Linked DNA regions of Coturnix japonica. The protein of the gene in region 1 binds, or shares a complex with, the protein of each later gene. Links are inferred from orthologs where the notes say so. Each region holds a gene or a part of one and is shown in the gene's direction. Other genes may lie near its edges.

The links.
Region 2: the proteins of CRHR1 (region 1) and CRH are in contact, whole or in part, in a cryo-EM structure (PDB 6P9X), measured with the Homo sapiens proteins. The link is inferred for Coturnix japonica from reciprocal best matches to the Homo sapiens genes CRHR1 and CRH. Residues at the interface, in NP_004373.2 of Homo sapiens: Lys113, Tyr116, His117, Ala119, Val120, Asn123, Trp169, Val172, Gln173, Met176, Ser177, Pro178, His181, Thr192, Tyr195, Asn196, His199, Phe203, Phe260, Gly261, Lys262, Tyr267, Tyr272, Gln273, Met276, Ile277, Leu280, Tyr327, Phe330, Phe331; in NP_000747.1 of Homo sapiens: Glu156, Pro157, Pro158, Ile159, Ser160, Leu161, Asp162, Leu163, Thr164, Phe165, His166, Leu167, Leu168, Arg169, Glu170, Leu172, Met174, Arg176.
Region 3: the proteins of CRHR1 (region 1) and UCN are in contact, whole or in part, in a cryo-EM structure (PDB 6PB0), measured with the Homo sapiens proteins. The link is inferred for Coturnix japonica from reciprocal best matches to the Homo sapiens genes CRHR1 and UCN. Residues at the interface, in NP_004373.2 of Homo sapiens: Leu106, Asn107, Glu109, Lys113, His117, Val120, Asn123, Trp169, Val172, Gln173, Ser177, Pro178, His181, Gln182, Thr192, Tyr195, Asn196, His199, Phe203, Phe260, Gly261, Lys262, Pro264, Tyr270, Tyr272, Gln273, Met276, Ile277, Tyr327, Phe330; in NP_003344.1 of Homo sapiens: Asn84, Pro85, Ser86, Leu87, Ser88, Ile89, Asp90, Leu91, Thr92, Phe93, His94, Leu95, Leu96, Arg97, Leu99, Leu100, Glu101, Leu102, Ala103, Arg104, Thr105, Gln106, Gln108, Arg109.

What each region holds. Positions count from the first base shown.
Region 1 is NC_029542.1:1,750,599-1,754,243, forward strand, and holds part of CRHR1 (corticotropin-releasing factor receptor 1), read left to right. Parts: intron 1-767; coding exon 768-874; intron 875-1,255; coding exon 1,256-1,376; intron 1,377-1,654; coding exon 1,655-1,808; intron 1,809-2,109; coding exon 2,110-2,170; intron 2,171-3,030; coding exon 3,031-3,103; intron 3,104-3,645.
Region 2 is NC_029517.1:104,167,097-104,170,740, reverse strand, and holds CRH (corticoliberin), read left to right. Parts: upstream 1-1,438; 5' UTR 1,439-1,849; intron 1,850-2,056; 5' UTR 2,057-2,070; coding exon 2,071-2,577; 3' UTR 2,578-3,015; downstream 3,016-3,644. UniProt on the Homo sapiens protein: Hormone regulating the release of corticotropin from pituitary gland. Induces NLRP6 in intestinal epithelial cells, hence may influence gut microbiota profile.
Region 3 is NC_029518.1:95,414,483-95,417,558, forward strand, and holds UCN (urocortin), read left to right. Parts: upstream 1-1,471; 5' UTR 1,472-1,811; intron 1,812-1,940; 5' UTR 1,941-1,956; coding exon 1,957-2,259; 3' UTR 2,260-2,448; downstream 2,449-3,076. Other genes in the region: protein Mpv17, read left to right, coding at 539-571, 799-1,179; TRIM54 (tripartite motif-containing protein 54), read right to left, coding at 3,053-3,063. UniProt on the Homo sapiens protein: Acts in vitro to stimulate the secretion of adrenocorticotropic hormone (ACTH). Binds with high affinity to CRF receptor types 1, 2-alpha, and 2-beta. Plays a role in the establishment of normal hearing thresholds.

The sequences.
Region 1 (3,645 bases):
CAAGGATTTGTAATGTGAGTTCTCTTGGTCCTAGGCTGCATGGTACAGGTCAGCACATCCTCCACATTTATTACCCTCTTCTGCTTCTGCAGCTCCTTACCATGAAAACAGAACAACCCAAACTCTACATCTCCCTCCTGGCAATGAAATGAAGGAGCTATTTAGGAAGCTGAGAGGGATGGATACCAAGAATTACAAGCCCCTGTGTAGGTCAAGCCACCCCTCAGAACAAAGGAGAAGAGATACAGGCTGCTCTTTTACGGCTGATAACCACCTCTGGTATTTAGGATGCTGATATCTTTTGCCAGGAATAGTTTTCTCACTCAGTTAATTGCTAATTCACAGGTTGGATGATTGCCTAACAGCAGGAGCAATCAATTAATTTAATTATCACTCATGCCTTCCTGTGATCCCCTGTTCTCTTTGCCCAAATTCATCCCAGCCTCTCATCTGCCCCAGGGCTAAAGGGAATGAACAGAGACATCAAGCATCATGCTGCCAGTGAGCTTGGCTGAGTTACAGCAGGGTTTCCCCTAGATGATGTGTCAGGGATGTCCTAGTACTGAGCAGGGCTGATGTAGGAGCAAGATGTGAAGTACCCAAGCCCGTTGCCTGCACAGGTTTGTATATTTCCTGCCTAAATTAGCCCCATCTACAGTTTCCAGCAGCTTCTTCACAAGGTGGACCCCAATGGGTTTCTGCAGAGCAGCTCTGGGAGGTGGAGGGTTTGGGATCCTATTGACCCCTCTCTGTCTTCTTCTCCACAGAAGAAGAGCAAGTTGCATTACCACATCGCTGTCATCATCAACTACCTGGGGCACTGCGTCTCACTGGGGGCCCTCCTTGTGGCCTTCGTCCTCTTCATGCGCCTGCGGTGAGAGACTTGACCTGCTACGGGGGGATGAGCCTATAGAGGTCCCTTCAGGTGGGGGCAGACCTGGAGACCTGGTATTCTGCTGTGTCCCTTCCATGGCCATTGATTTCTAGCCACACTCAAGTCTGAATGCCTGCCTCAGGGTTATTTTCTTCCCTCTACTTTTTAAAGCAATGACTTATAGAGGAAGAGAATCCTACTTGGTGCCCTCCATCACCTGGCCACATCACGCAAGGCACAGCCCCAGTGTCTCATCACTGGGCTTTGGGTTCCTTTGAAAACAATCAGCCCTACAAAGAGCCTTGTCTTCCCCTGCAGCCCACCTGGGTTCTGTCCACAGGCAGCTGTTGTGCTCTCTGATTTGTCCCCCCCATTCTGCAGGAGCATCCGGTGCCTGAGGAACATCATCCACTGGAACCTAATCACAGCCTTCATCCTACGCAATGCCACATGGTTTGTGGTGCAACTCACAATGAACCCAGAGGTGCACGAGAGCAATGTGGTAGGTGGGAAGCTCAAGGATCTTAGAGACAAGGCCACAAAAGCTGACTTGAGAGGTCAAATAGTGCTACTTGGTGGCTGGAAAGCAACCAAGGCTTATGGGAAACCTGGGCACAATTGCTCTGCTGGGGTCTGTGTCATGCTATGGCTCAGTTTCTTCACTGTAACACAGAGCTAATGTTGGTTCTTACTTTGGCATCAAGAAGCAGCCGTGGTGATTTGTTTATTGTCTCTTTGAAGTAGTTCTGCTCTTCACTGCATCTCCTAAACTCTTGGCAGGTCTGGTGCCGCTTGGTCACTGCTGCCTACAATTACTTCCATGTCACCAACTTCTTCTGGATGTTTGGTGAGGGCTGCTACCTGCACACAGCCATCGTCCTCACCTATTCTACTGACAAGCTCCGCAAGTGGATGTTCATCTGTATTGGCTGGTGTAAGTACCAGGGCCCTCCCCTACGTGCAATGAGTGATACTCACCCCTATCCTCTGCTCCTGCTCTTGTTTTACCTAATGGTACTTAAGGATGTGCTTTAGTGGGCATGGTGGGGATGGGCTGATAGTAGGACTAGATGATCTTGGAGGTCTTTTCCAACCTGAATGATTCTATGATTCGAAACAGCTCCCTTCAGGAACATGAGAGCAGTGCATGCCCATATCAGTTTGCCTTGTGCAAGACCATCATCATTTGGCTGCAGTATTGCTCTCCTGAGACCTGTCTGTGTGTTCATCTGCAGGTATCCCCTTTCCTATCATTGTCGCCTGGGCCATTGGGAAGCTGTACTACGACAACGAGAAGTGAGCCTCTCTGCTCTCCTTCCCCCTCCCCTATTGCAATTCCCTGGTCATGCAAGGAGCTGGCACATCGCAGGCATGGATGTACCTGCAGGAGATCACAGGGAAAGGGTGCAAGGAAAAATGATATTCTCCCATTCTTTCTTTTATCCTGCCTTTAGGCTCACTGCAGCACGCACCCTTCCTGCTGCTGCATTTTTCCTTTCAAACTGCAAATGAGATTTTTAAGAAGGGAAAAGGCTAGATTAAGCCACAGCTCTTACAAAGTGTTTGCTAAGTGGAGCTGGGATTTAATCTACCGGTAGAGATATAAACTACCACCACCTGAGCCATTTTCACAGAGACTTGTTAATGGAGGACTTAACAGGAACCTGATGAGTTCATCATGGGGATGGTGGAACTGAAAAGAGCCTGCTCCAGTGAATGCAGCTCGCCTTGTTTTGCAGCACTAGTTTTGCCTTGTGACTTGAGCATCCTTACTGCACACAGGAGAAGGAATGATTAACCAAAATTCAACCAGATGCTCTCAGGACATTGATACCATTAGCTCCTATGGGGTTTGCTGGGGACACAGCCAACCCTGTGTAAGGCTGTCCTTCCTTACCCCACAATAACCAGTTCCCACTCTCAAATAGGACCAGTATAAACCTCCCTATGTAGTCTGGTGTGTGGGAGAAGCTGTTCCATAGCAGCTACTCCCAGCTACAGCAGCCTAAGTCTTACTGCCTTCATGCTATGACAGTGACCTACGGACATTGTGTAAGGGTCAAAGTCAACCTTGTCACTTGTGCTGCAGGCTTGTCCCTGACGCTTCCTGTCCCTGACACCACATGTTCCCAACACTGTCTGCCTTTGCCTTACAGGTGCTGGTTTGGGAAGCGAGCAGGAGTTTATACTGACTACATCTATCAAGGTCCCATGATCCTGGTGCTTCTGGTAAGGGCATAGTGACCTCGCTTGCTATATATCAGGTCCTTCCCATCTGTATGTGGACCTGGGTCTTGCCAGCTGTGCTGTCCCATGGCAGCAATGCTTTGCAAGTCAGGCTCCCTCCACTCATACAGCACCCAGCTGTGATGAGAAACATCGTGTGGATCCTGACAACTTGAGGTGGGCTGGAAAGGGGTTCTGATAGGGATACCTCCATTAGCAGAATCCTACAAGCACTGATCAGTCTCCACATCACTGCTGACGCATTGTTTGGGTGCAGGTGTGTGTTCTGCCAAACATCAGGAGTTGCCTCAGCCTCACTCTTTGCTCTGCAGCAGTTTGCTCCTGGCCACTGGCTGTGCAGCAATGCTTGATCCAGAGGTCAAACAATCTACTGGGACTTCACTTTCTCAGGAAGGGGCAAATAAGAGCAGAGTTGGCAGGTCACAAGCATCAGTGCCAGTATCAGATCAGCATTTGCAGGACAAAAGCTGTGCACAAGGTCCCTGCAGCTTCTCCTCCTTCCACTCCCAATGCTAGGAAAACCC
Region 2 (3,644 bases), on another chromosome or scaffold:
GCATCAATCTTTAGGAGAGACACAGCTCTGTATCTTAATCAGATCGCACCCACAGTACTAAGAAGCATGTATTTGGATCAGTATGTCTCCTTCAAGTTTATGGCCTCAGTATCTGAAGAGGTTTTATGTCCTTTAAGGGCATATTAAACTTAAAAATGGAGACACTGTGTGTGATAACCCCCCTGAGCACGTCCAGAGGGTTCAGTTTTAATGAGTGCCTGTTGCATTTTCCATCACCTGACTGAACTTAGCTCCTGCTTCTTTGAACCTCTTGTTGTTCTCGCAGGAAGCGGCGCTGACATGCTTTAAAAGCATACAAATAGCTTCTGCTGCGATGAGCTCCTCGAGATATCCTGCTCTGTTTTGTTGTAAGACGCATTTCGGTTCACGAATGCCTGAGCTAACGAAGGTAATGCTGAGACAAATCCCCAGCATTACAACCTGTTTTTCCATTTGTTTGCTTATGATGCGCAAGATCTGATTCTTTGGCACTTCAGCAACGTCTGAGGCCGGAGGTAGGTGTGACAGCAGACCGAGTGTGCAGCGTCCCTCAGGGGATGCTCAGAGCTGGGCTGCGGCCAACCTCATACGTTCAGTGCTTTGAACTTCGTTATTTCATTAAGGAAATGGATTTGAGGTTTGCCACCGGTTCGGCATCCATAATGTGCAAACACCTTCCGTGCTGTGTTCATCTCCTTGCTGCAGTGGGACGCACACAGGTGTGTGACCCCGAGCGCCCACGATTGGGGCAGGTCAAAGCCGGGGGGGATTTCAGTGCAATTTCTCGGTTTAAAGGGAGGGATGAGATGAACGTCGCGAGTGAGGCGGTGGGAAAACAGTACTGAGACGCAAAGCTGTCGGGACGTGCAACCTGAAGGAGGCAGATTGCGCACGGGATGGGAGTTGGGCAGAAGTCACCGCGCTGAACGGTGCTCCCTCCTGGGGAGATGCCGAGCAGCCCGGCTGGAGGAGGGGGAAGGGGGGGACGTTTGCAGGCACCGTGCTGACGGGGGAGCGCCCCAAAGGGACCTCAGAGGGACCTGCTGATGGGAGAGCCCCCCGGAGGTAGGGCCTTCCGTGAGGGGAGCAGGCGGGGAAGCGCATCGCCCCGAGGGTGCGGAGCTGGGGAGGATCGCGGGCAGCGGCGGCCGGGGACAGCCGAGGGAAGAGGAGCAGCGCCCGGAGCTGGGAGTGGGAAGCCGTCCAGGGAACGGCGGGGGCTGCCCGCGCCCATCGCCCCGCGGAGCATCCCGAGCCCCGCGCCTTCCCCGCCCCGTGCCATTGCGCCCCGTCGGTGGGGCCCGGAGACGGCGGTGGAGAGAGCGGAGGATCGGGCGGAGGGAGCCGTCCCGAGAGTGGAAAGTTTCCCGGAGTGACCTCTCCGCGTACGCGCCCGCTAGGAGATCTCATTCAAGTGTTTTTGTCAATGGGGAGGAGGGGGGGCCCGCGGCTCCCCGGCCCCCGGCCCCGCTGACGTCACCGCAGAGGCGATAAATATCTGTTGATATAATTGGACGTGAGATTTGGGGTTGCGATAGCGAAACTCGGCCCATCGCCGCTCCGACGGGCCCCCATGATTTATTCAGCAGTGGATCGGGGCACGCAATCGGGCTGTCAGGAGAGCGTCAGCTTATTAGGCAAGTTCTGCGTGATTCCAGGAGAGGGTCTAAGCTATAAAAATCCCTCGCCCCGGCTCTGATTAGGACCAAATCTGATCACAAGTTCGCCGGGAGGAGGCTCCGAGGCAGAGCCAGAGGAAGGACGCCGGGCACCGCCAGGCACAGCCGGGCACAGCCGGGCACAGCCGGGCACCGCCGAGCCCCGCCGCCTGCCGCCGCCGCCGCCCCAGGTAGGAGCGGGGCCGCGCTCGCCCCGACGGCGGGGGCCGGGCGGTCCGGGCGGCGGCGGGCGGGGGCGGAGTGGAGCGGAGCGGAGGGGCTCGGGGGGCGCCGGGGCCGCGTTTCAGCACCGGGACAGCGGCCGCGCTGCGTGCCCCCCGCCTGACTGCGGCCGCATGTGACCCGCGCGTGTCCCCCACCCGTTCGCCCCGCTGCAGGTCTGGCCCCGACCATGAAGCTCCAGCCGCTGGTGTGCGCGGGGATCCTGCTGCTCGCCCTGCTGCCCTGCCACGAGTGCCGAGCGCTCAGCAAGAGCCCGGGAGCCGCCCGCGGGGCTCTGCAGCAGCCCGATTTCTTCCCGCAGCAGCAGCAGCAGCAGCAGCAGCAGCAAACTCTGCCCGTCCTGCTCCGCATGGGAGAGGAGTACTTCCTACGCCTGGGCCACCTCACCAAGCGCCCCGCCGGCCTTTTCTCCGCCTCCTCCGGCGGCCACCTCCGGCCCGAAGCCTCCGCCGAGTTGTTGCGGGCGGCCGCGGCGCAGCTGCAGCGGTCGGGGAGCCCCGAAGGGGACGAAGGAGCGGGGGAGGCGGTGGAAAGGGAGAAGCGCTCCGAGGAGCCGCCCATCTCCCTGGACCTGACTTTCCACCTGCTGCGGGAGGTGCTGGAGATGGCCCGAGCCGAGCAGCTGGCGCAGCAAGCCCACAGCAACAGGAAACTGATGGAAATCATCGGGAAATGAGGCGGCCCCCCCGCGCCGTGCCAAAGGGACCCCGCGGTCAGCACCAGAGCCATCACACCGCCCGACGTACCATAGTGCTGCTCTGATGTCATCTCTTTATTTTTATAGAGCTTCGAACCCCGAAGGGCGCGCTCCGAGCCGCCGCCCCCCCTCAGCATGCGCGGACGCGCGGTGCCGCCGGCCCCCCCACCCCGACCCTTATTTATTTCTCCATTTCCCATAGCGAGAGGGCTCCGCAGGGACGGCCGGGGGCGGCGGGGAGCACGGGGAGCGCCGTGCCGGGGTGGGAGGAGGGAGGGGAACCTCTGTCCGCTACTTCGAGTCCACTTTTACCCCTGTACGACATTTTCACAATAAAACATCTTTTCAGCGCTCGGTCGATTTTGTTGTGTAAGAGAATGTTTAATATTTATATTTTTAATAAAAGCTGCAAAGGAACGATGGCTGGACACGCTTTCTTGCCTGCTGACACCGTGGGCCGCCCGCCCCGACCGGGGGTGGTGCAGCTCTGCGCTCCTCTCCGCCGCTCGCTGCGGGCTGCCGGCCCCCTCCGCCCCCCACGGGTGGCCGGGACGCTACCGGGACCAGCACCCCGCAGCAGATCCTCTTCCTGGACGGACGGGAGCGGGCAGCGCTCCGCTCTCTGTCAGCCCCAAAGCTCTGCGCAACCCTCAGCCCTTCCCCCGAAAGTTCCCCCGCAGGAGCGTTTTCTGGAGGCAATAAGCACCGATCGGGGCTGAGCCCCGTCCCCGCAGACCTCAGCAGCTCCGCGCTCGGCCCCAGCTCAGGGCTCGGCTCTGGCACCGAGCTCTCTGAAGGAAACCCCGTCTCCCTCGAGCATTCTGTCACCTTCAGTGCGTTAGGAGCGCTCCTTTTAAGACAGGAATTTTGTTAGAAGAATCACCTCAACGGTTCAACTTCTGCCGTAAACCCAACATCTGCCCCGTGCTGATGGGGTTTGTCTGTCCCTACCCCTCCTGCCGTCCCCCCCCCTCCCCCCATATCCAGGTTATATCCAGGTTTTCCCTTCGGGAAAGTAGATGCAAAGGGAGAAGGAAGAAGGGCCG
Region 3 (3,076 bases), on another chromosome or scaffold:
TCGGGTGCCCCAGGTGGGCTGGGTGCCCCAGGCTCCGTTCTGGGGACATCTTCACCCCCACTTGGGGCACATCCGCCTCTCCCCACGTAGAGGGAGCGTCACAGCGCATCCATCACCCCAGCGCTTGCTCTCCCCGTTCTGGGCCGCCGGCCAGTGCCGGGATGAGGCCGGATCCTGGCTGAGTCACAGCCAGGCTGGGCAAGGGGATGGGTTGCGTGCTACGTTCCCCTCTTGTCCCTGACATTTGTGACCCCAGGGGGCTGCACCAGGGCTGGTGACAGGAGCTGTGCCCCAGACCTGCTGCAGGGCTCCTGGCTGCCTTCTGCCCTCACGCTGCTGCCCTTTATGGGCACATTCCCATGCAGGGGAAGGGGGACCTGCCCTGTGCCCAGCTTGGGGAGACTGCAGTCCCTGCCTGCTGCGTGCGGGGTCACAGCTGTCCCTGCACTGTTCCTCTGCCCCCAACTGGGCCAGGCTGTGTGTGGGGTGGGGTGGTTGCAGGGCTGCTCCCTGCGCTCACGGCCTCTACCTTCCCCAGGACTACATGGACGCGCTGCTCACCAACTACTGTGTAAGTGCTGAGGATGGAATCCTGGGTTGGATTCCCTGATCCCGTGGCACAGAGCTGCCTGCGGCCCCTCATATCGCTCCTCCCCTCTGCCCAGATTTGGCCGCCGGTGCAGATCGCCAACTTCTACTTCATCCCTCTGGCCCACAGGTAGCAGCACAACCCCATGGCCCCACAGCTCCCGCTGCCCATGGCTGTGTCTGCTGAGCCATCCTTCGCTCTGTTCCCAGGCTGGCTGTCGTGCAGTGTGTTGCCATTGTCTGGAACTGCTACCTGTCCTGGAAAGCAAACCGGCTGTGAGGGGCAGCTGTGCTCCAGGTGCCCCCACCCACCAGCTCTGGAGCCTCAGTCGGGGACTGTGTGTGGGGCTGGAGTGCCGTGCTGTCCATCACGGGGATGCTATGGCAGCGATGACCCCGTGGGGCTGTGGGACCGCTCTGTCTGTTCTCTGTGCCCTGCCCAGCACAGGAGATGCTCCGTCCTTCCCCAGCCTCACTGCTGGCTCACACCCCACGTGTGACAGTGCCCTCCAGTACCTCCACTGGGACTCGGGTCGGGCCCTTCAGGAGCACCCAATAAAAGCTCCGCTCCGCTGCCCCTGTAACGCGTGAATTATCGCCCCCCCGTCACCCTGGGCCTTTTGGGGCCGGGGATTCAGCCCTCGGCCCGTCGTTTCCCATCGTCGCCGGGCGCGGTGCCGCGGTGCCGTATCCCCGAGCCGCATGGCACCGCGCTCGTCTCTATGAGTCACGCCTTTGGCCACCGCCGCTTCCTCGGGGCCGTCTGCAGCGCTTGGCCGCGGCGTGCTGGACCGGCGCGGTGCCATGGGGGGTGCACCGGGGGGGAGGAGGAGGACGGGGGGTGACGTCGCGTGGGTGCGGGGTTCCGGCACCCCAGCTCCGACGGGGAACGCGGCCCCGACGGCGCAGAGCCCCGCACCGCCCCTTCAGCACCACGGACAGCGGCACCGGGATCGGGGTGCGGTGTAAGAGCTGTGCGGGGTGCGGGACGAGAACGGGCACCGGAGAGATGCGGGTCCCGAGGGGCCGCTCCCGGTCCCGGTGCGCTCCGAATCCGCCGTCCCCCGTAGCCCCGCACCCCCCGCCCCCGCCCTGTGCGTCCCCGCCGCTGACGTCAGCCCCGCTCCGGGCCCCATATAAAGTCCCGAGCGCGGCTCCGGCTCAGCCCCGCGGGGACGGACGGAGCTCCGCGCAGCGCACGGCGCCCAGAGCTCGGAGCAGCGGTACGGGCGGTGCGGAGCGGTGCGGGACGGGGCAGTGCCGGGCGGTGCGGGACGGGACGGGACGGGGAGCGTTCGGCTTCGGGGAAGCCCCGTCGGGTGCGGACCCCGCGCTGACCCGCAGCCCCGCAGGTGCGGACGAGCCGAGATGCGGCGGGCGCTGCTCACCGTTCTGCTGCTGCTGTGCCGCCCGTTCCCCGCCGCCCCCCGTCCCGCCCGCCCCGACGGCCTCGACGGCCCCGGCTCGGGAGTCCCCGCGGCGGAAGTGCGGACCGAAGCGCTGTGGCCGCCGCTGCCCGCAGAGCCGTGGAGGGCGCGGAGGGACGAGCCGCCGCTCTCCATCGACCTCACGTTCCATCTCCTGCGGCACCTCCTGCTGCTCGCCCGCGCCCAGAGCCAGCGCGCCCGCGCCGACAACAACCGCCGCATCCTCGACGCCGTGGGACGCTGAGCCCCGCGCCGGGACCGCTCCGACGGGTGCGCGGCTGCCGGACCCCCCCCGGGACGGCTCCGCTCCGATTTTGTAATAAAACACTGCAGAAAAGCCGTAGTGCGGACCTGAGTGTGGGGAACCGTCTCCATCTCCGCTGCGTCCCCACCTTGCCATACTTGCAGCCCATGGTAAGACCCTCCCCGAGCACCCCCCGTTCCAGGCTGAGCATCCCCGGTTGTGCCCCCATCCCCACCCCGCAGCCGTCACTGCCCCCCGTCCCCTTCTGCTGCTGAAGGCCCAACGGCTTTGGGTACGGCACTCGGGCTGCACACTGAGCTGGGGGCTGTGGGGCACAGAGACACCCAGTCCCCATCCTCGTGCATCAGCAGTGACGTGGGGTGACTGACGTGGGGTGACTGACGTGGGGTGACTGACGTGGGGTGACTGACGTGGGGGGCTGACGCAGCGCGGTGCAGCAGTGGGGTGGGGGCACAGGCCGTGACCCACCGGTAATTGAGGCTCTGTGTGCTCAGCCCAGCGCTGTTTGCTCGGTGCACCCAAGGGACGGTGCTGCCAGACGGAGCTGCGGGGGTGGCAGACGTGGGTGCTCCCCCCAGACATGGGGCTGCAGGCAGAGCACAAAGCCCTGGTACAAGGGAACCCCGCAAGCACCTCATCCCCACACACCACACCTCACAGTGTCCACTCGCTCAGTTTAATGAGGGCTGGGGGCAGCCCCACCACGTGGGGCTTCATAGCAGTCGTAGGGCTGTAGGGTTTGCTGGTGTCAGTGCTGTGCCGTGAGTCCAGCTCAGTGCTGACCTGCACCGAACAT